3 linked regions of the Elephas maximus indicus genome follow. Each later gene encodes a partner of the first gene's protein in a complex. Links are inferred from orthologs where the notes say so. Each region holds a gene or a part of one and is shown in the gene's direction. Other genes may lie near its edges.

The links. The genes of interacting proteins can lie anywhere in the genome.
Region 2: RIPK1 (region 1) and caspase-8-like share a complex: the UniProt entries of both Homo sapiens proteins name them as parts of the AIM2 PANoptosome complex. The link is inferred for Elephas maximus indicus from reciprocal best matches to the Homo sapiens genes RIPK1 and CASP8.
Region 3: RIPK1 (region 1) and ZBP1 share a complex: the UniProt entries of both Homo sapiens proteins name them as parts of the AIM2 PANoptosome complex. The link is inferred for Elephas maximus indicus from reciprocal best matches to the Homo sapiens genes RIPK1 and ZBP1.

The regions. Positions count from the first base shown.
Region 1 is NC_064819.1:43,619,866-43,627,405, forward strand, and holds the start of RIPK1 (receptor-interacting serine/threonine-protein kinase 1), read left to right. Parts: upstream 1-4,516; 5' UTR 4,517-4,797; intron 4,798-4,807; exon of another isoform or gene 4,808-5,579; intron 5,580-6,018; exon of another isoform or gene 6,019-6,094; intron 6,095-6,785; exon of another isoform or gene 6,786-6,919; intron 6,920-7,540. UniProt on the Homo sapiens protein: Serine-threonine kinase which is a key regulator of TNF-mediated apoptosis, necroptosis and inflammatory pathways.
Region 2 is NC_064824.1:100,030,182-100,038,159, forward strand, and holds the start of caspase-8-like, read left to right. Parts: upstream 1-4,877; 5' UTR 4,878-4,895; intron 4,896-7,978. UniProt on the Homo sapiens protein: Thiol protease that plays a key role in programmed cell death by acting as a molecular switch for apoptosis, necroptosis and pyroptosis, and is required to prevent tissue damage during embryonic development and adulthood.
Region 3 is NC_064843.1:11,620,892-11,628,456, forward strand, and holds the start of ZBP1 (Z-DNA-binding protein 1), read left to right. Parts: upstream 1-4,464; 5' UTR 4,465-4,637; coding exon 4,638-4,671; intron 4,672-5,061; exon of another isoform or gene 5,062-5,270; intron 5,271-5,549; exon of another isoform or gene 5,550-5,738; intron 5,739-7,565.

The DNA.
Region 1 (7,540 bases):
ATCCAATATTGGATTTTTTTATTTTAAATTTTTTAATGTTTGTAAATTCTGTATTGATGTCTTCTTTTTCATTCCTGATATCAGTGCTCTCTCCCTCTCTTTTTTTTTTTTTAAACTGGGTTAATTTTGGTGCGGGTGTCAGTTTCAGCCTTTTCAAAGAATCTACTTTTGTTCTTCTCGATTTGCTCTATTGTATGTTTGTTTTCTATTTCAATTATATCTGCTTTTATCTTTATTGGATCTTCACTGCATTTTCTTTGAGCCTGATTTGCTGTTCTCTTTTCCACCTTTTTGAGAAAACTAATAGCATTGATTTTCAACCATTGTTATTTCCTAATGTATGAACTTAAAGCCAGAAATATCCCTCTGAGCATTGCTCTGGCTGCATCCCACAAAAATACATATGACATACTATATGTCATACATACATTTATTTATATATACGTCATACATATTTTTAATTATCATTTCAGTTCAAAATATTTTCTAATATAATTTTTTCTTGGTCCATTGGTTATTTAGAATTGTTATGCTTAATTTTTAATATTGGAAGATTTTCTAGTTATCTTGACATTACTGATGATATCTAGTTTAATTTCATTGTTGTCAGACCAATATTTTTTGTGGTTGTTATAGTATCTGGTACTTGCCTCTATCATAGCCCTTGTTATATAACATTTCCATTTTTATTGAAAGATGCCTCTCCATTGAGCTGTAAAGTGCCTTAGACTAAATATGGGTATTGCTCGTTTTTGACTCTACCTATCTATTGCCTTATCAATCTCATTCCTTTTTCTGCAAAATTTCTTTAAAGATTTGACTATAGTCACTGTCTCTAAACTGTCTCCCCCTCTCCTCCAACATTTACTGAACCTACTCCAAACATGCTTTTGCTCTCACCATACCACTAAACCTCACATTAACCTGGTCACTGACAACTTCCATCTTACCAAATCCAATGATGGATCTTCAGTCTACATCTTACTTGACACGTTTGCAGCATCTGCCACAACTGTTAACTTTTCAGGAGCCCACACGGCCCTGGCTTCCTCCCTACCTCTCTGGTGGCTCCTCTTCATCTCGTCAACCTCTAAACATTGGAGAACCTCAGGGTTCATTCCTCGGACCTTTTCTCTTTTCTATCCATATTCCTTCCCTCGATTATCTTGCCTCATAGCTTTAAATACCATCCGCATGCTGATGACTTTCCAACCTGGATTTCTTTCCTGAACCCTATACTCATATACCTCCCTACCTACTCGACATCTCCACTTGGATGTCTGTAAGCGTCTCAAATGAACGTGTTCAAATGGAACTCTTGATATTGCCTGGCCTTAGTTATCTAGTGCTACTATAACAGAAATACCACAAATGGGTGTCTTTAATAAAGAGAAATTTATTTTCTCACAGTTCAGGGTACTAGAGGTCCAAACTCAGGGTGCCGGCTCACACTCTGGAGGAAGGTCCTCTCTCTTTTGAGCTTCTGCTCCTAGGTGATCTTCATGTGGCTTGGCCTTTTTCTTCTCCCATCTCTGCCCTCTTGCTTGCTTGTTTAATCTCTTTTACATCTCAAAAGAGATTGACTTAAGACACGAGCTACACTAATACTGTCTTATTAACATAACAAAGAAAACCCATTCCCAAGCGGGATTACAACACTTACGTTAGGATACACACACTTATTTTGGGGGAGACACAGCTCAATTCATAACATGCCCCAAACTTGCTTTCTCACTATTTTTCCCATCTTTGTATATACAGCAACTCTATACCTCAATCTGCTCAGGACAAAAACCTTCCAGTTATGCTTGAATACTCTTCATTTCTCACATCCTGTTTCTGATCTCTAAGCAAATCCTGTCAGCTCTACCTGCAAATTTTATCAAAAATCTGACGACTTCTCTATACCTCCATTGCTATCGCTCTAGCCCAAGCTGTCCTCATCCTGTCTGCCTTGTTGCAATAGCCCCCTAACTTGTCTTCCTGCTTTGCTCTTGCCCCTTTCAACCTATTTTCAACTCAGTAGCCAGAATGATTCTATTGTAAGGTAATTTACGTCAAGCTTCTCCTCTGCACCAAACCCTCAATTTACTCAGAGTAAAGGCAAACTCCTTACAATGGCCTATGGGGTCTCACACGATCTGCCCCTCCCTGCCAATCCCACCTTTCTGACCTCACCTTCTGTCACTACTTTACATCTTGTTCATTTCAAAAGGACCTCCTTGCTGTGCACCCACGTGCCGTGCTCCCACCTCACAGGCTTTTCCCTTACTGTTCTCCGTCTCTTCCCAATGTGCTTGACCCCAAGATATCCTCACGGCTCCCTACCCAGCTTCCTTCTAGATTTTTGCTCAAACGTTGCCTTCTCACAGGGGTCTTTCCTGGCCACCCCGTCTAACTCTGTGACACACCCTCATAATTCCATGCATGCTTCCTATCCAGCTCTGGTGCTCTCTTTTCTTCCTTAGCACTCATTGCTAACGTGTGACAAAATTTACTTATTGTGGTTCTTTTTTGTCTTCCCCACTAGAAAGTAAGCTCCATGAGGGTAGGGTTTTTTTTTTTTTTCTCTTTTTGATTTTATTGTGCTTTAGGTGAACGTTTACGTCTCTAGTTAATTTCTCATTCAAAAATTTATACACATATCGTTTTGTGACACTTGTGGCAACCTCCACAATGTGACAGCACACTCCCCCTTTTCACCCTGGGTTCCCTGTGTCCATTCATCCAGTTTCTGTCCCTTCCTGACTTCTAGTCTTGCTTTTGGACAGGAGTCGCCCATTTGGTCTCATATATTTGATTGAACTAAGCAGCATGTTCCTCACATGTGTTATTTTTATTTTATAGGCCTGCCTAATCTTTATCTGAAAAGTAGGCTTCGGGAGTGGTTTCTGTTCTGATTTAGCAGAGTGCCCAGGGGCCATACTCGTGGGGTTTCCTCCAGTGTCTGTCAGACCAACAAGTCTGGTCTTTTTTTGTGAATTCGAATTGTATTCTACATTTTTCTTGCGATCTCTCTGGGATTCTCTTTTGTGACGTCTGCCAGAGCAGTTTCTGGGTCAGAGCAGTTGGTGGTGGTAGCTGGGTCCCATCTTGTTCTCGGTAGAGATTTTTGTCTCATTTGTTCACAGGATAATCTCCAGTGCCTACAACAGGTGCTCAGTAAATATTTATGTATGAAATTCTTATTGTATGAATGAGTGCTTTTTTGTATCACTTGTATCTACCACCAGAAACTACTGTATCTAGCGTCTAATTGGCACACAGCAGATGGTCAGAAATGTTGCTGAGTGGATAATGCCCCTACCATCTTTTTCCATATGCCTATCTCTTTTCACCACACCTAATCAAGGTGTGTATACAATGTTATAGCTTGCTCCTTAAGATAACATTATAGCATATATTTCTCATTTTGCTTCAGTCTTCAAATTGCCATTGTAAAGGGCTGCACAATAAATATCTGATTCATTCCCGGGCAGCCCTGCAGAGTGGATTTTATTAGCCTCACTTTACAAATGAAGGCAGTTCAGTGAGAAAATTGGCCTGAGGTTCTAGAACTCAAATTGCACCTGGCAGTGACCATCTCCACCCACCCAGTGCTCCAGCTATGCCAAGCGCCTCTTCAATGTCACAGAGGCTTCTATGAGTTGGTAACTTTTTCTTTGGCCCTTCAACTCTCCTTAACATGAACTAAAATCGCCATCCTTTAGCTGACAGGGGATCTCTAAAAGTAAAGAGAGACAGTGCTCTGGGATTTTCAATCTGGGGGCACAATCTCAGAGTGGTGGTGAAAAGACATTTGGGAATGTATGAGGGGTATCACCCCCCTCCTCCCTCAAGATCTCCTCCTGTCCCACTGGCTGCTAGTAGGGCCAGAGTCCACTTCCCTCCTTCCCGCGCAGGTCGGATGACCAGGAGCAGGAGGAAGAAAATGGGGAGAAGGAAGAGGAGAAGGTCAAGGAGGATCATGAGTAGAAGGAGGACCATAAGTAGGAGGAGGATCATGAGCAGGAGGAGGACTAGGAGCAGGAGGAGGCCTACAGCAGGTGGAGGAAGACCAGGAGCAGAAGGAGGATCAGGAGCAGGAGGAGGACCAACAGCAAAAGGAGGACCAGGAGCAGGGGGAGGAGGATGAGGAGCAGGATCAGGAGGAGGGGGAGGAGGATGAGGAGCAGGAGGAGGATCAGGAGGAGGGAGAGGAGGATGAGGAGCAGGAGGAGGATCAGGAGGAGAGGAGGAGGATGAGGAGCAGGAGGAGGATGAGGAGCAGGTGGAGGAGGATGAGGAGCAGGAGGAGGATCAGGAGGACCAAGACCAGGAGGAGAAGCAGGAGGACAAGGAGGAACAGGTGAAGGAGATGCAGGAGGAGGAGGAGGAAGAGTGAGAAAAGGAGTAGGTGAAGGAGAAGCAAGAGAAGGATCAAGGGGAGGAGGTGGAGAAGGAGGAGCTGGAGTAGGAAGAGGAGGAGCTGGAGCAGGAGGAGGGGCCGGAGAAGGAGGAGGAGCAGGAGGAGGAGGAGGAGGAAGATCAGGAGAAGGAAGTTGAGTTGCTGAGGAAGGAGAGGCCAGAGGTGGAAAAGGATCAGGAGGAGAACTAAGCGGAGCAGCGTAGGAGCTGCAAGTGGTCCACGCCTCCCGCCTGAGTACCCCTGGGCGCGGCCGACACTCGACACGCACGGAGCGGCCTCTGGACCTGGCTACCCTGCGAAGCGCAAATCGAAGACGGCGGCCCGCAGCCCGCGGCGCCCGTGCGCAGTGGTCAAGGCCAGGCCTTGGGGCCCGCGAGGAGCCGAGCACGGTGAGCGTGCCTAGCGGGGCGGCGCTGAGTGAACGGCGGTCATTCCTCGGGCCGGTCCCGTCCCCCGAGCCCTATATCAGGGCGGCCCCTTTTGGGGGTTTGGGCTCCCTTCCCTGCTGCCCTCTGGAGAGGCCGCCGCGTCAGCGACCCCTAACTCTCCCCACTCGGGCCGGAGGAAGTTGGTGGCGAAAACGAAAGCGAATCCAGCGTGCGGGCGCGGGCGGGGCGCGCGTTCCCGGAAGGCGGGTGTGCGAGACGCGCCCTGGGGTCCGCGGCCGGCCAGGGCTGCGCGCCCCTTCCTCAGAGGAGGAAGTGTTGGTGTGGGCTCGAGTCCCGGATCAGGGCCGCGACCTGGTCTGGGGCGACCATCTCGATGGGACTGCGAACAGACGCTGTGGTTGTTACTTGTGCTGTGTTGGTAGCGATGCAGGGTGTTATTGCAGGATCATTAAGAGTAGCGCGTGCTCTTGCCATAACAGGGTTCCTTAGGTGTCTTTGGCTGGGACTGCTCACTTACCCTTGGAAAGGGCCTGTCGCACAGGGAGCCTCAACAGGCTGCAAAGACGTCAGCATTTCTCTTTATCTTAGACGTGAGCTGGCAGATGGGAAAGGAGCGGTCAACAGCCACAGCAACAAGAGAGCGAGTGTGAGAACCCTAGAAGGAATCTTCTGTCGTCGTGGCTTTGGGTTTTGTGAAGTGCTCCAAAATCTCGTCAGCGTTCGGAAAAGTACACGCTGCATCATCCTCTCCTAAGCATTTGACAGAATCACAAGGCTCCGGGGTCTGTTGATTTCTTTGGCTCTTCTGTGTTCAGAGCTCTTGTTTATATTGGGCAGAGCACGGGGCTATTATAATCAAAGAACGCTGGAGCAAGCCTTGGGTCTTAAAAAAAAAAAAAAAATTTTTTTTTTTTGGTCTTTAGATCACTATTAATTCTTCCTGATTTACTCCTGAAGTCACCAAGGCAAGGAGTGAACTTTGAAATACTGAGTAACTTAGTACTCAGTGGACTTTTTGTAACCAGCGTAGAGGTGCGTGAGTCGGAGAGACTTGTGGTTGGTTTAAAAATGTGGAAGACTGTGGCTCTTCTATACAAAAAAGGGAGGATTCAGCTTGCCTAGAATGAGATTTGGAGTGTATCATCATTATTCTTCCTGAAAACAACAGCAGTAATGATTAATTTTTTTTCTTCTTCTTTCTGAAACTATGTTGAGCCCCAGGATCTGTTGTACTTCCAGGAATTTGAATGTTAATGAGTATTGAGTAAAATTGGCAAACTATCAACTTCCAAACTAGGTGAGCTACTATTTTGGGTTTATTAATCCATGACATGTTAACACTGCTGATATAATCTGGGAATTTGAAAAACAAATCTAGCTTCCCATGCTTTGGTTGGATATTTTATTCTGGCAAAAGTGATTGACTATGTATATTAACCTGAGTGGTTAATGAGCTTGGCTTCTAACCAAAAGGTTGAAGGTCCACCCCGAGCTGCCCGGAAGAAAGGTCTGATCTTCTTGTGAAAAATCAGCAATTGAAAACACGGTCCTACTCTGACATACATGGGGTCACCATGAGTCAGAGTCAGCTTCGTGGCAACTGGTTATTTTAACTTGTATAATGCTGAGTTTTGAGCTATGTATTTTCATGTTTTTAGAATTTAGCCTGTGCATTCCCTGTGTTTCTGACTATAGCAGACTCATACAGGTGAGCAAGGCTGTCAGGTTGGGTCTCTGCATCTGGATTTTTCCAAAGACAAGTCACTGTTTGCGATCCAGAGAAACTAGAGAATGGATGATAGAAATTGGAGTGAAGGGACAAAGGTTTGATTCCTGATTGGCCATTCTGGGTGAATCACTTAACTTAGTTTTTTCATTTGTAAATTAAGAATGATGGTAAAGAACTTATTTCACTGGGTCATGATGGGATAATTGATATAAAGTTTTCAATCCTACTGTCTCTTACTGATCATTTGGCTCTTCCTTAGAATTCCTGTTTGTCTTGGGTTAAGCATGAGAAGATTAAAATAAAGAAACCTTAAAGAGAAGCCTTTTGGTTGTGTTGGATACCTGAGTAAAATCAGCTTCTGTTAATAAGAAGAGGGGGCGCAATGGCAGATAGGTAGGCAACCAGCATTGTCTGTCACACGCTTGTTATGTAGGGTCATAGTTGAAAAATAAAGAAAAAATAAATTAGGTGAAAAAATTGACCACTAAAAGGTAAATATGAATCTTTTGGTATTCAGACTTGCCCCTGCATTGGGAAGCAATCTGTGAAATTTCTTATTAACTTCAGTGGGAAAAAAATTTAACTGCCATTTTTGAATTAACAGTCATTTGCATAGCAGCCATTGTGCAGAAACACTAACAGATTCCATTGAAATGGACCCAGTTACATCATTAGTTGAAATCGGTTATCATAACATGTTTTCACAAGCTAGTGTGCCGTCATTAACTATTCTTTATAATGCTGTTCTTTGCATGCCTACAGTTAGTGTTTATGTGTCTCTTGGGTATCCCTCATTAAACTACTCTCAAGGTCTTCCTAAGATATTCAGTGGTTACAAAATTGACTACAGGCAGCCCCTGGGTTATGAACATCAACTTATGTACAACATGTAGTTATGAATTTTATATTATATTAAGTGTATATTTAATATCATATAAAGCCATTATATTAAAAATTTGAGGTACATACAGTGGTTTGTAATAACAAACAGGCGCTACTTTGTGACCCGCATCA
Region 2 (7,978 bases), on another chromosome or scaffold:
GTTTCAGCAGGGGACAGATTACAAATCAAAAATGAAGAAACGTTTGAAGACTTTGGTTTCTGATTTTGTGTCAAAGAGTACAAGCATCATATATGCTGGTTTGGGTGCTGTATATTAAGAATATCCTCAAAATTTCATGATTTCAAAATTAACCATCATGCCGTGAACAAACAAAAAATCTAGGGGGGGCTCATGAACCTAAATAAAATATGAAGACCACCTGCCTATAGGCTTTAGAGAGGATACCAGAAACTGGGTGATGAAAATCTATATTTACATAAAATGCTTTTAAATTAAAACTTTTTATTACAAAAAGAATATATGGTAACTGAAAAAAATTAGAAAATATAGATAAGAAAATGTCAATTACAGATATGTTTAGCAAACAAATATATTTAGATTGCAGATCACAAATACATTTAGATTTCAAGCTATCTGGGATACATTAGAACATAAATGCAGGATGTTAAATATTAACATATAGATAATTAAAAAAAAATTGACTATAAACCAACCATCTAAAGATTATCACTGTTAGCATTTTGCTGTTAGGTACGTCCTCCCAGTTTTTTTCTGTGACTGCCTCTATTTGGTAGGGAAGGCTTTGTGAAGGTACTGAGGTATTAGAGAGAAAGGAGGGGCACCAACCAGGCAGACCCCACAGGGGAGCTCCAGGTGGAAGCTGCGGTCTGTGAGGAGAACCAGGGTCAAGGCATCTCCTGTTTGAACACAGCCCTCCTGCAGGGAGACTCCCACTTGCCTGAGAAAAACAACTCCAAACCATAATTTTGTAGGGGTTCCACTGACCAAATGAGATCACGTGGATAAAGGGAATGAATTGGAGAAAACAAATCAAAGGAGACATTAGAGGAGACCATGTGCGTTAGAGAATCTGTAAATGACACTTATACTTGAGGGATATGTCAGAGGGACAAGAAGGAAAGTTAGTTTATCTGGAGGGGAAGTAAGAATTAGAGATAAAGACTTGAGGAGAGGTCTGAAGACCATGAGATTGGAGTGCAGCTCAGAGCCTGGGAATGTGGGTGGAGATTGGAATGGTGTGGGGCAGGATTCCAGTAGACCAAGGTGGTGGACTAAGAGGTGCAAAACAAAAATTAAAAAAACAGCTAGTACTTATTGATTGGGCTGAACTCACCCAGCCACAAACAGGAAGGGCTTTCATTTTTCTCCCATCCCTATCTTCAGTGATGGTACAAGTCTTCAGTGATGGCCCTGGTTAGACATAGGGTAGATCCTATAGCTTTAGACTCTCTTTTGGTTGTAAGAAAGATATTATTTAGATAGTTGTGGCTCATATTCAGTTATTAAAAATCTAGTCCAGATATAAAACTTTCATGTCACCTGCAGCTAGGGATGACTCATAATTAGAGGGCTTCCAGTTGAAAGGGATTGTTTCCTCTTCTTGAAGCCGTCATCTAATAGGTTCTTGTCAGGCCAACTAGTGAATTGAAGTCAGCCAGACACAGGGTTGGAAGAATAGAAAGGTTTAGTCACAGTTTGCAAACTGGGAGACAAGCAGGGTCTCGTGACCTAAGGCTGCCAGCTCCCTGAACCAGGGCAGATTTGCTCCTTTTATAGGGAGTAACATACGTACATGAACAGTGAGGGGAGGATCTTCAGTCTTTCGATGCATTCACAGTACGCATAATTTTAGTGAATGGGTTTTTGTGCAGGGCTCTAAAAATACTGCACACGGCCCTAAAAAAATGGCGATGGCTCACTGCTGTCACCCAGGAAGGTCAAATAGTGGGTAGATTCAGAGTCAGTGCACCTGTGCCTAGGCCTCCTGCCAGGAGAAGACAAGAAACCTGGGGATCAGACCAATCATGGTGAAGTGCTGTAAAAGTTGTAACAAAAATGTAGCAACAGTAGATTTTTCTGAAAAATAACTACTACGGGATGGTTAATAACCCTTGATAACTCTTTCATGACTGCCTGCTTCATTCTTGGTCTTTCACCCGCCATTCATTCAGTGGCTTTGGTTCTGAATTGGAGCAGTAATGAGGCAAAAGTCTTTCTGCTCTGATGCCCATCTCCCTGGAACTGAACAGGCGGCTCTGCCCTCTGTAACCAGGAAGGTGGCAGCCCAGCCCTCCAAACCTGTGCTGGCAGCCCTGCTGGCCTCTGAATTGCTCTGGGGATCATCTTTTCCTTTTCTTGAAGGGCAACAAATGTTTGCAGCCAAGCAGCACCATCAGCCCATTTCCTGCCTGTAGCATTCCAGGAGTTGGACAGTTTTACTTCTTTTCATCCTGTCTTTAGCCCCTTCAGTCTAAGCCGGTGACATTTCTATTAAGAAGGCTGATTGAATCCTAATATATATATATAATTTTTTTTTTTTCCTAAAGCTGGAAGACTGATTTGGGCTTTGGGAGGCCTTAGTTCCAGCTTAGGCGGCATGGCATTTGTTAAATACTGCTAGACTGGTGACTGAGCAGAGCGGAGAGGGGGCTGGGTGAGAGGAAAATAGCAGTTCTCTGCTGTGAAAATCCTGGAGGGGAAGAGGTTATTTTGATCCCTCTGGGTAGGTTGATGCTGCACTTTTGCAGGTCCAGCGTCATTTCCCTCTGGCTCTGGAGGCTTGTACTGACTGTCACTGCCTGGTCTCTCCCGACATGGGGAAATGCGTCCAGAGTGCTGCTAGCCTCAGCTCAAGTGCTCTGGCCAACAGGCCTGTAGGGTGCCAGCTACCTCACTACTGCCACTTTGCTACTTCTGAACGGTCTCTCTCTCTCCCCCCTGCCGCTCAGTTTGATTCCTCAACTTTGTCTTTGATGATCAGGGCTCCTAGATTGTCATATATAATCAATTCACTTGCTTTTTCCAAGCCTTTATTGTAAGAGAGACCACAGGAAGCTTCTTGAGTATTCTGCCATCTTGGGCCACCTCCCTGGATCCTAATATTAAGTGACATTCCTAATGTCTTTAGCAAACAGTTGTCCAGCCATACTCTTCTTCTCTCCAGAGCACATTCTCTCAATTTTTACAATATGGACAGGCTGAGAATTTTCCAGCTCTTCAAGTTTTTGTTCCTTTTTGTATAGTTCAATCCTTGATTTATCTCTTTCACTTTCATTTTACTATAAACAGGAAGAAGAAACCAGGCCATGCTGTCAAAATTTTGCTTAGGAATCTTCTCAGCTAAATATCCAAGCTCATCACTTCTGAGCTCTGCTTTCCACAAAACATTTGAATATAATTCAGTCAAGTAGTTTGCCACTTTAGAATAAGGATTGCCTTTCCTCCAGCATCCAATAACATGTTCATCATTTCCTTTTAAGCCCTCATCAGAAACACATTTAATATCCACATTTCTAGTAACATTCTGTTCATGATGATATTTGTATTCACTAAGATGATAGGGGGAGTCCCTGGGTGATGCAAATGCTTAAGTTTTTGACTACTAGCTGAAAAGTTGGCAGTTAAAAGCCACCCAGCGACGCCTCAGAAAACAGGCCCGGTGATCTGTTTCCGAAAGGTCACAGCCTTGAAAACCCTACAGAGCAGTTCTACTCTGCACACATGGTATCACTATGAGTTGGAATCAACTTGATGGCAACTAACAACAACAGCAAGGAGATGATAGAGGATGTCTCTACAGCTCTCCCCAATTTTTTCTGAGCTCTCACCGGGATCACCTTTAATGTTCCTAATTCTACCAACAGTCTCTTCAAGGCAATCTAGTCTTTTGCTATTAAGTACTTCAAGGCTCTTCCGGCTTCTACATATTACCTAATTTCAAAGCCATTTCCACATTTTAGTATTTGTAGCAACACCACCCCACTTCCTGGTATTAAACTCTGTGTTAGTTTCCTAGGGCTGCTGTAACAAAGTACCACAAACTGGGTGACTTATAAGAACAGAAATCTATTGTCTCACAGTTTTGGAGGCTAAAAGTCCAAATCAGGGTATCAACTGTGTTGATTCCTTCTGATGGCTCTGAGAGAGAAGCTGTTTCATGTCTCTGTCCTAGATGGAGGCTGCTCAGGATGCTGGGGCAGCATCAGGAAAAATCAGGATATAATTCCTGGGGTTTGGAGTTAGCCACTAACTAGCAGGTTTTCATGGTATTGCTATGTTTTCACTTAGAGTTTACTGGAAAAAATCAAGTGCTAGCTGAGGACATCGATATTACGATGTTGTCTATATCTTTTTTTTTTTTTTTCTATATCTAGCCCTCTACAGGTGAAGAGGCACTTTTAGACACCTCATTTTATCCTTGCAACTATAAGATGTGTCCCTGCCCTCTGAAAGCTTACATTCTGTTTTGAGAAAGACAACAGGCGGTTTCAAAAAGTGAGTTTTTTTTTTTCCTCTTTCTAATTTTAACATCAAAGAAAACATTTCATCTGAGTTGTGACATGAGGGCAGAGGGTTTCTGTGTTTTGTTCACCAGGGTCAGAGCCCCAGGGCCCAGATCAAAGGTGCTCAATAAATATTTATTGAAAGAATAAAGTTTTCATGATGAAGACATAAAAATCTGTAAATTCCTTGAACATGGAAAGAAAGTGTTCTTAGTTACCACCCAGCCCAACTCTCTCATTTTGGGATGTGGAAATGAGGGCCCAAAGGCAAAATGACCCATCCAAAAGCACAGAGCTAGAGCCACAGCTCAGACAACGAGGCTCCCTGCCCAGTGCTCTCTCCACTACACACTCAGCCTCTCTTGCAGGTCTAGAAGCCTGCTCAGGGGCCAGCCCTCCTGGTGTAGTCTCTGTGACTCAGGAGGTTTCATCAACCAGGAAATGTAGCTGGGCTGTGCCTTCCTTCAGGTCTTCAGTTTGAGTTTTACTCTTGTTTTCAACACACGGCCTACTGAAGAGAGTCCTGAAGAAGCCTCTGCCACAGTGAGGGCCCCAGGATTTGCCTCTTTGGTAAGATCGCTGGGCTTTTTGGGAGGAAGGCCTTTGATTCTAGAGTTTTCTAGGCTGCCGAGGGTGGAATCTGGTGGTCTTGGGGCCATGGAGGTGATCCGTTTGAGTGGGTACGAGGAAATCATGGGAGTTATCTGTAGGGAATCAGTTGTAAAATGGAGGTGATACTAACAATTTCTTCATAGACTTGCAGTAAAATGATACAAGAAAAAAATATTTTTATGTTTATATGATGATATAATTATATGGATATATGTTATAAATGTTTACGTATCATGTAAATATATATTTATATATAAATACTTTTGGATATAAATATATGAAATATAAGTATTCTAAAACATATATTTTATAATATAAATATATTTATACAGATTTATCACTTAACAGATATATAATATATATGCATTATATGGCAAAATATTTAAGTTTGTGTATGTTTATATATGAATATATGTACACATAAAATTATATGTTAATAAGATGGGAAAGAAAACCCTTAAAATGTGATCAAAGGAATTACTTATGAAGGGTAAGTTTGTAAGTAGTTTTTATTTTCTTCTTCAAACTTCCTTGTGCTTTCTCTAAGGACTGTTAACTTTACTATTTTTTATGATTAGAAAAATACAACTGTAAATGTTCTTTTGAAAATATTAACCTGACAAAGTTTCTAGCCCATGAGCTCATGCAGTGACTCTAAAAACCCAGGACCGATAAAATAAAAGCCTCCTCACAGCTTTTTTTTTTTTTAATTAACTTATACCCTATAGGATCTCTATTTTAAGAAAATCAGCCCCCTTTCTCTCATATATATTGCCTTTTTCCCCCAGTGTGCAGGGTATTTATTCCTTTAGTTTGTTTAGGGCAGTTTTTAACCAAATATTTTAGTAATTATTTATGAAAATTTATCAATCTTTTCTTTAATGGCTTCCAGATTTTGTGTTATACTTAGAAATATTTTCACAACTGAAAAATTATTTTTAAAAATTCTCCCCATTTTTTCGTCAGTGCTTTAATTTTATGGTTTAAGTCTTTGATTCAGCTGCAATTTATTTTGAAACAGATAGTCAGGATCTATTTCAGTTTTTTTCCAGAAGTCATTCTAACACCATGGGTTGAAAAAGCCACCTAAATGTAGATAGTTCTTTTTGTAGTGTTTTGATTTGATCATTTTTCGTTGTTAATTTCTAATTTAATTGCTTTGTAGCCAGAGAGTATGTCCATTTATTCCCAGGAAAGGACACCTGGATGCCTTCATCTCCTTGTTACCATAAATAACAATGCGGTGAACATCCTCAGACATCTGTGCCCTGCGGACTCATGTAAGAATTTACCTTGGAGATATACCCAGGAGTGGAAACCTGTGTCAAAATTTATGTGCCAACTTGAGTTGACAAGCCCTGTCATCTTGCTTTCCAGAAGGGCTATACCAGCGTAAGCTCTACAGAGTACATCGGACTGCTCTTTTCCCTACAGTCCCATTACTTTCCATTTTTCTACACTTCCCAATGTGAAAAGTTAAAGGAAAGTCTTATTTTTGTCTTAATTTGCATTTTTCTGCTGCTTATTAGTTTGAGCATTTCTTTGTATACTTTTAGCAATATGAGTTTTCCCTTCTGATGATTTGGTTATATTTTTATGTCTTTTGCCAAGAGTTTTTTTACTTTTGATTTTGTTTTGTTGTTGTTACTGGTTTTCGGCAGAACATTGAATGGTCTAGATATTTGTGCCACCTTCCTCCCGCTTTTTAAAAATATTTAGCATGTATTGGGAAACAGACATGAAAGACACAATCTCTGCCCACATGAAGCTCATAGGCTAGGCCAAAGCCAGACGGATCACAAAACAGCAGAACAGGTGTTGGAATAGGGGCATCCCAGGATGTCGAAGGAGCTAACCAGGATAGGGAAGTTAGGGAACACTTTCTGGAGGTGAAGTACAAGTAAAAGTTAACCTATAGTAGCTTTTTACAAATCCGTAGGTAAGTACAATGATAGTTTTAGCTTTTTAAATTTTTAATTATTTATTTTCGTAGTTGTTGAGAATATACACAGCAGAACCTACAACAGTTCAACAATTTCTACATGTACAATTCCATGACTTTGATTCTATTTCTCAAGTTGTGCAACCATTGTCATCCTTCTTTTCTGAATTATTCCTCCTCCGTTAATATAAACTCGCTGCCTCCTAAGTTTCCTATCTAATCTTTCCAGTTGTTTTTGCCAATTTGATCCCATATAGTTTTGTTGTTGTTGTTATTTATCTATTATACTTTAGATGAAGGTTTACAGAACAAACTAGCTTCTCATTAAGCATTTAGTACACATAGTGTTTTATGCCATTGGTTAACAACCCCACGACGTGTCAGCACTCTCCCTTCTTGACCTTGGGTTCCCTATTACCAGTTTTCCTGTCCCCTCTAGTCCTCAGCCTTCTCATCCTTGTCCCTGGGCTGTTGTGCCCTTTTAGTCTCATTTTGTTTTGTAGGCCTGCCTAATCTTTGGATGAGGGGTGAACCTCAGGAGTGATTTCATTATTGAGTTTCAAAGGATGTCTGGGGGCCATACTCTTGGGGTTTCTCCAGTCTCTGTCAGGCCAGTAAGTCTGGTGTTTTTTTTGTGAGTTAGGATTTTGTTCCACATTATTCTCCAGCTCTGTCTGGGACCCTCTATTTTGATCCCTGTCAGGGTAGTCAGTGGTGGTAGCCAGGTACATCTAGTTGTACTGGATTCAGTCTGGTGGAGGCTGTGGTAGTTGTGGTCCATTAGTCATTTGGACTAATCTTTCCCTTGTGTCCTTAGTTTTCTTCATTCTCCATTGCTCCTGAAGGGGTAAGACCAGTGGAGTATCTTAGATGGGCACTCATAGGCTTTTAAGACCCCAGATGCTACTCACCAAAGTAGAGTGTAGAACATCTTCTTTATAAACTATGTTATGCCAACTGAGCTAGATGTTCCCCAAGACCATGGTCCCCACAGCTCTCAGCCCAGCAGTTCAGTCCCTCAGGGAGTTTGGATGTGTCTATAGGGCTTTCATGACTTGACTTTACTTTGTACAAGTTGTTTTGTCTTCCCCAGTATCGT
Region 3 (7,565 bases), on another chromosome or scaffold:
TGAGCTGGTCAGTGGGTTTGAACCACCAACCTTTAGGCTAGGAGTCGAGTGCAAACCATCTGCGCCACCCAGGGGCCTCCTCATGTGGTAGGCACTACTATGATCCCCTTTTTCAGAAGGAGAAACTGAGGCTCAGAAAAGTTAGTGACTTGCTCAAGGCACAGAGGTAAGAAGTGGAGGCACCAGGACCAGAATCCCAGGTCTGTCCAGCTCCAGCGGACACAGAGGAACAATGGGGACACCATGAAGGACACTGGACAGCAGCCAGGACCCACTTCCCTGGGGACCACAGCAGAAAGCCCACACCTTGAACATACCTGCTTTGCTGGGTCTTTGTGCCGAGCTTGGCTTCACTGATGGCCGCCACCATGTGACCCTGGGCAGCCCTCCTCCCCCGCTACCTCTGCGTCTCTGACCTTTGCCCCCGACCCAGGACAAGTAATTATCCACGTTCAGTGCCTTCAGACCTTTTTGTCTCCCCGCCGTGAATTCACAGAGATAATCTGAAAATAAAATCCAGGCTGCCTGGTAGAAAGGAGACTTGGGTTTTGCCAACACAATGTGCAGTAAAAATATCTCTTTTAAAAGGCGGAGAGAGAAATTTAAAGACTCGAGATCAGTAACATGTAATTATCATCTGGTTTGGGAGGAGAGTTCTAGTAGTTTCCAGAAAAACACAAGCCGTGGAAAGAAAGCGTGCTTTCCAAGGCAAAAAGATTTGGGCTCCAGCAGGCAGGGCGCCATCTTGGAGCTGCGGCGACCTTTGAAGTCCTTTCCCAAGGAGCGGGAGTAGGTCCCCACACCTGCCTGCCTTCCTCTTCCCCTTCGCCTTCCACACTGGACTGGAGACTCTTGAGAGTTGAGAAGCTGCGCTTGAACTCAGCCTCCTGGAGCTCAGCACAGCACCTGCTCAATAGGGAGCTTCCAGCGAGCAGACGTGTAAAAGCATGGAGATGGCAGCCTGGCTCTGTACCTAGGGGACCATCACAGTGGCAGGAACAGCTAGGTGTCCACAACATCCGCTGTCCTTTAGTTTACAGTCATGTTGTTGTTGTTGCTGGGTGCCATCGAGTTGATTCCCACACATAGCAACCCTGTATGAGAGCGTAAAACTGCCCCCACAGGGTTTCCTAGGCTTTATGGAGCAGATCGCCAGGTCTTCTCTCCTGTGGAGCCAACGGTGGGTTCCAACCGCTAACCTTTTGGTTAGCAGCTGAACACTTACCATTGCACCAGCAGGGCTCCTTTTTATAGTAATAGAACTCCCAGTTTTATCTGGGAGTCCCTGGGTGGTGCAAACAGTTAATATACTCAGCTGCTAACCAAGAGGTTGGAGGTTCGAGTTCACCCAGAGGCACCTCGGAAGAAAGACCTGGTGATCTACTTCTGAAAAATCAGCCATTGAAAACCCTGTGGAGCACAATTCTACTCTGATAAACATGGGATTGTCACAAGCCATAAATGACTTGATGGCAACTAGTTTTTAATTTTACCTGGGCTCATGTGACCCAGAGTAAAAACCATCCCTTCAGATGCATGGGGCCATGAGACTAAGCTCTGGACAAGGAGATGTCAGCAAAAGGTAGATGCAACTTCCAAGAAGTGATCTTAAAGGAGACATACTTCCTCTCCTTCCCTTTCTTCCTTCCCACTGGCAGGAATGCAGATGTGATGGTTGGGGCTTGAGCAGCCACTCTAGAACATAAGGCAAGCCTGGGAGTGGAGGCCACAAGCTGCAGAGCAATGAGAAAGAAGGATCCTGGGACTTGACACCAGAGTGTGCCACACTGAACCTAGACCACCTCCCAGACGGTATGGGAGAAAGGAAGAAGCATCTGTATTGTGAACTTTGAGACAATCACTTATAGTCATTGTTACCTTGAACATCTTTTAAATCAAGAGGAGAGATACAAGATGATGGAAGTCTTTAAGTGTAAGGATCGCAGTGAGTGCCTGTGAGATGCTCACAGCAGATCCTGGGCTTCCCTTCCACATGTGTGGAGTGAGGAATCTAGCAGAAGGTGGAAACCACCACGTTAATGGTTTTCTCTCCTCTCTCCTTTTAAAAAACCTACTTATTTACTTCTTATTTTAAAATCTAATTATTTCTTTTTTTTCTCAGTGCCTGGAGTTATTTTGTACAGACACATCACGTCACATTTTCTAACTTATGCAAATATTGCGAGCACATACCACATGCCAGAAAGCAATGCTCTGTGCTAGTTATTCTCTCCATTTTATAGTTAGGGAAGCTGAGGCTCAGAGAGGTGGCCTCACACAGCTAGGGAGGCGCGGAGCTGCATTCCAACTCTGTGCTGGGAAGGAAGCAAGACAGAGCGGCTCATCTGGGGTGCTGGGCCTTCCCAGCTCCTAGAAGCAGCTCCAGGGGCAGTGGGGACAGGATGGGACCTTCCAAACACAGGCCAGATAACCGGTCAAGAAGGGCACCAGCCTCCCCCAGTGCAGCACAGCGGTCTTTCTAGAAGCACATCAGAGCCTCAGGATTAAGCTTTACGTCCCCTGGGGACCTAGAGGGTCAGGGACAAGCCCTGGGTCTCCACCCTGAAAGATCAGGAGCAGGCAGGGACCCGACCAAGGAGCCAGAGCAGAGCTGCCAGGGAGGAGGGAGAACCCAGGGGTGAGGCCTGGAGGCCAGAGGAGAGAAGATTCCCGAGGGCCAGTGGTCGCAGAGAAGCCGGTCCGATGAGGGCTGAGGATCCCTCGAGAGGTTTAGCTAGAGAACTGGGATCTTGACTCTATCAGATATAGAAAGAATGATGGATCAACACATGCGAGGACAGGAAGTCTGAAGAACGGAGGACGGACGGGGGCCAGGCGGGGGGCAGGATAGGGTGTCCTCACCTGAGGTGGTGGTCCTCTTTCCTAAATCAGAGGGTCCGGGAGCGACCGTGCCAGAGCCCAGGTTGGTGAGCCGGCGCCACCTGGTGGCCAGTCCTGGCACTGCGCCCTCTCCGCTGCCCGCTTTGCCTTTGGGGGCTGCACCCAAGACCCTCCCGAGGGCGCCTCTGTGACCTCCTGAGTACCCTAAACCACCTGCTCCTTTTCAGTTATACATGGAGGGGAACTAAATGTCGTGGTGGTTTGCTGTTTTTATAGACCTGGCCCACACTTGCTGACTCTCTACCTCGGCTGCTATGAGGTCGCCGTTCAGGTGCGGATTTAACGGTCTGGATGCAGCCAGACACCAGTGGTTTTTAAAGCTCCCTGAGCAGTTCTAACCTGCAGCCAGGACTGGGAATCGCTCAGATTAGGTGGGCACCTCCTGTCTGCTCCGCAAAGACACATTCAAGCGAACCTCAGGACTCCTCCATCCCAGTTGCTGTCCCTAAGCCCCTCCTTGCATAGAACTGCTGGGGGAAGGGGTCCCCCAAGTGCGCATGGACCTGCAAACCCTCCCAGCCCTCTGTGCTGAGACTCAGAGGAGAGCCCTGGGTCTCCTTGAGTCCAGAGATTTCTGGGGCTGAGCTCCTGACCTCTGGGCTGCCCTCAGTTTCCCCTTGTGTAGCCTGGAAGAGAATGGTCGTTCTGAACTGCTTTGGGGTCACCGGCCCCAAATTTGAAAATTTATCAAAGTCCTTTTACTAGAGAAATAGATGAGGTTATGATCGCAGACCGCGGGGAGGGGGAGGTTGGTCAGTGGGTTAACCCATCTAGTCTGATCGGGGCCCCATAAAGTGAATACTTTTTTTTCTTTTTTCTCTCTCTCTTTTTTATGGTGGTGAAAATACACAGAGTATAGCATCTACAAACACAACAACTTCCACATTTACAATTCAATGTGAGGCAGGTACTTGTATTAACTTCACTTTACAGGCAAGGAAACTGAGGCACAGAGAGGTTAAGTAACGTGCCCCAGGTCACACACCCAGTAGATGGTGGCGCTGGGTTTGAACCCAAGCATCCTGGCTCCAGGCTCCACCGAGTACCCCCTCCCCCAGATGTTAACCTCAGGGGATATTTGTGAAGTGACCACAGGAAGGTGTTTTCTAATCTGTTATGCTGACATTATTCAGCAGGTTCTAGCGTGAGGTTGGGAAGCTGATGTGGTCTGTGAGCTGAGAGTGGTTCACCCGAGACGTCTGGATTTTACAGACCAGGGAACACATGGCAGTAGCAGGTAAGGCTGCCTTTGCCTGTGCTGAGACCTTGCTGGCCCAGCCTCAGCTTCCCCTCCAAGGAAAGAAGACAATACCGGCCCAGGTAGAGGGGCACACAAGGCTGGGAGTGCCCAGTAGGTGCTCACTGAAAAGAGCTGTCACTTTGATAGGCACACGAACGTCTCCTCTGTGCTTTGGGGTTGGGCATGGTGCGGGAGCTCCCTGGGCTGTTGTGGTCATGCCAAGCCCATCCTCCCCACCCCGTCCCGCCTATCAATCTTCGGTTTCAATTTCGTTTCTTTCAAAATCCACAAGGAGAAGCTTCACTTTCTGTTTCTGTAGAAAATTCATCAGGTTTGGCTGGCAGGAAACCAGACAGGCTAGGCCTGTTTCCGAGATGTGAGCAGCTGACATCCGCCAGCTAGAATTGACTTCTCTTATGAGTGAAGAACCACAGGAAGCACCGGACTCACCCACGAAAGGACTCACCAGACCAAGAGCCCGGGGCCACCGTTCAGTATGGCCGAGACCCCTGCTGACCCAGGCGAAAAAGGTAGTTACTTCTTCCTTCCAAAGAAGCCTGGGGGTCAGGGTGGGATATGAGCTTCTCTTTCTGGCTCCTTTCCTTGGCCCAGATGACAGCGGTGATGACAACAGTATCCTAAACAACACCTGTAATAGGAAGAAGGAGAGTCTGTTTAGAGAGCTGACTATGTGCTAGACACCTCACAGCACACCTGCCTGCATCTTGGCAACACAGCCTGCAGCGGCGCTTTACAGATGACACAGCCAAAGGGACTCTCTTGGGGCTAGCACAGCTGGCGAGTGTGGGAGCTGGGCTTGGAAACTGTTCTTTATACTCATTTTGAGAGGCAAGGGCATTGCTTTGATAAGATGTGTATGTGAGTGTGTCCCCCCCTCCCCCGTTTCCTTCTTGCCTCAGATAACATTTTCCTCCTGGAAGAACCGCAAAGGCTAATGGTGCCTGAATCCTGGGCTCAGGCACTCACTAAGCCCCGTGGTCTGTGCCTGGAGGTGCTTCAAGTTCTTGTCTCGTTGAATCCTTACGACAATCATTGAAGTACCCACTGCCGTGGAGTCAATTCCGACTCATAGCGACCCGATAGGACAGAGTGGAACCGCTTCACTGAAGTAGGCACTGTTATTATTCCCATTTCACAGATGGGGAAAACTGAGGCACTGAGTGGTTACACAGCTAATAAGTGGCTGAACCCTGGGAAAGCACCCATTACAGGGTCTGAAGGAGAAGAGGGTGTGCTGGGGAGGGGGCCGGCAGAGTGTGGGGCCCCTGCAGGTACAGGCAAGGGCACTTGGTAAAGGCTTTTCTCACTTTTTTTCTCCTCTGGCTGATTTCCGTTCCATTACAACTGGTCGCTTACACTCGGTCCCTTTTACAACATCCGTTTTCAGGCATATCAGCTGGGCACACAGGAGCCTGAGCCAGCCAGCCCTAGGGCTCTGGTTTCACTGACTCTCAGGGTCCACCTCTCCTTTGGTGTCGGGGAAGTTAGGAGGAGACAAAGGGAGAGGTGAAGTGGAGCCAACCTCCTGAGCAGGCGTTGCGAGAACCAAAACTCCTCCAAACCAGCCAAAGAGCAGGTGTGCAGCCAGCTGGAGAGGTGTCACTTCCCACTGGGGGTGTCACTTTGCATGAAGGGGCAGCACTCCCAGGTCTGTACTTGCTCTTTCCCTGATCACAAGGGGAGCTCCATTTATCCCCTCCCCCACTGAGCCCTGCCCGAGGGAGCCAAGACACCTAAAGGAGCGTCCCATTAGGAAAGAAAAACCTAGATCGAAAGGGGTGGGCCACTGCCCCAGAAAGGGCCTACTGTGAGCCTCCCTTGGGGATTTTGGGGGTGAGGTACTTCCTGATGACAGGAAGGCCTCCACCCACTGTGGGCTCTCCCCAGCTGGTGGCTCCAGGGCGTGCCTGTACCACCTCTACCCAACTTAATCCTCTGGGTCTGGCTTTCTGCAGAGCAGCCAGTTTTGACGTTTGAGATCCTCCCCTGGGGAGGAGCAGGGGTGATGGGGTGGGCTGCCTAGGGCTCCTTAAAGTCAGGGCAGGAGAACTGAGGCCTTGTCAGCTGGTCCATGGTGAGTCACCCACACCCTGCCCTGGGTCAGCTGGGCAGACAACTGTCCTGGTAGAGACACACCCACTCAATCACCCACTTACCCACTTACTCACCCACCCACTCACTCACTCACCCACCCACCCACTCACTCACTCACTCACCCACTCACCCACTGACTCATCCACTCACTCACCAACCAGAACAACTGTCCTGGTAGAGACACACCTACTCACTTAGTCACCCACTTACCCACTTACTCACCCACTCACTCGCCCACCCACTCACTCACTCACCCACTCACTCACCCACCCACTCACCCACCCACTCACCCAGTGACTCATCCACTCACTCACCAACCAGGACAACTGTCCTGGTAGAGACACACCCACTCAGTCACCCACTTACTCACCAACCACTCACTCACACACTGACTGACCCACCCACCCACCCACTCACTCACCCACCCACCCACTCACTCACTCACCCACTCACCCACTGACTCATCCACTCACTCACCGACCAGAACAACTGTCCTGGTAGAGACACACCTACTCACTTAGTCACCCACTTACCCACTTACTCACCCACTCACTCACCCACCCACTCACTCACCCACTCACTCACCCACCCACTCACCCACCCACTCACCCACTGACTCATCCACTCACTCACCAACCAGGACAACTGTCCTGGTAGAGACACACCCACTCAGTCACCCACTTACTCACCAACCACTCACTCACACACTGACTGACCCACCCACCCACCCACTCACTCACTCACCCACCCACTCACCCACTCGTTCACTCACTCACTCACCTGCTCACTGCCATTTCGTGAGCACCTACTATGTGTCCAGCACTGTGCTAAGATGGAGGTGCCACAGGAAACAGGCCAGATGCCTCAGGGGATTACAGTAGGGGATCCTTGGGGACATTCTCAGGGGATCCACACACAAAGAGCACCCACCTGTGCTGAGCTTCCCAAGAAGACAGTGTCAGCGAGAGCTGGAGGTCCAGTCATTGGACAGGGAAGAGAGGGCTGAGTGTCCCTGGCCGAGGAACATGTAGAAAGACCCAGGGGCAAGTGGGGCTGACACCTGGAGGGAAGTCAGGGAGGTGGAGACCAGGACCTTGTAGGTGCAGAAGGATCCAGATTCATGCTCAGGCTGCTGAGATCTGAGAGAGACCCAGGAGTAGGGTCTCCTGGGCCTCAGGGGAAAGATTTATTTCTGAATGTCTATCAGGATTCTGGCTGAGATGGAGGTTAACCGTAGGGCTACTTCCTACTTCATAAGGCTCCAAGGAGGGGCGGCTTCCTTCTGCAGGGAGGACAGTGATGGGGACCA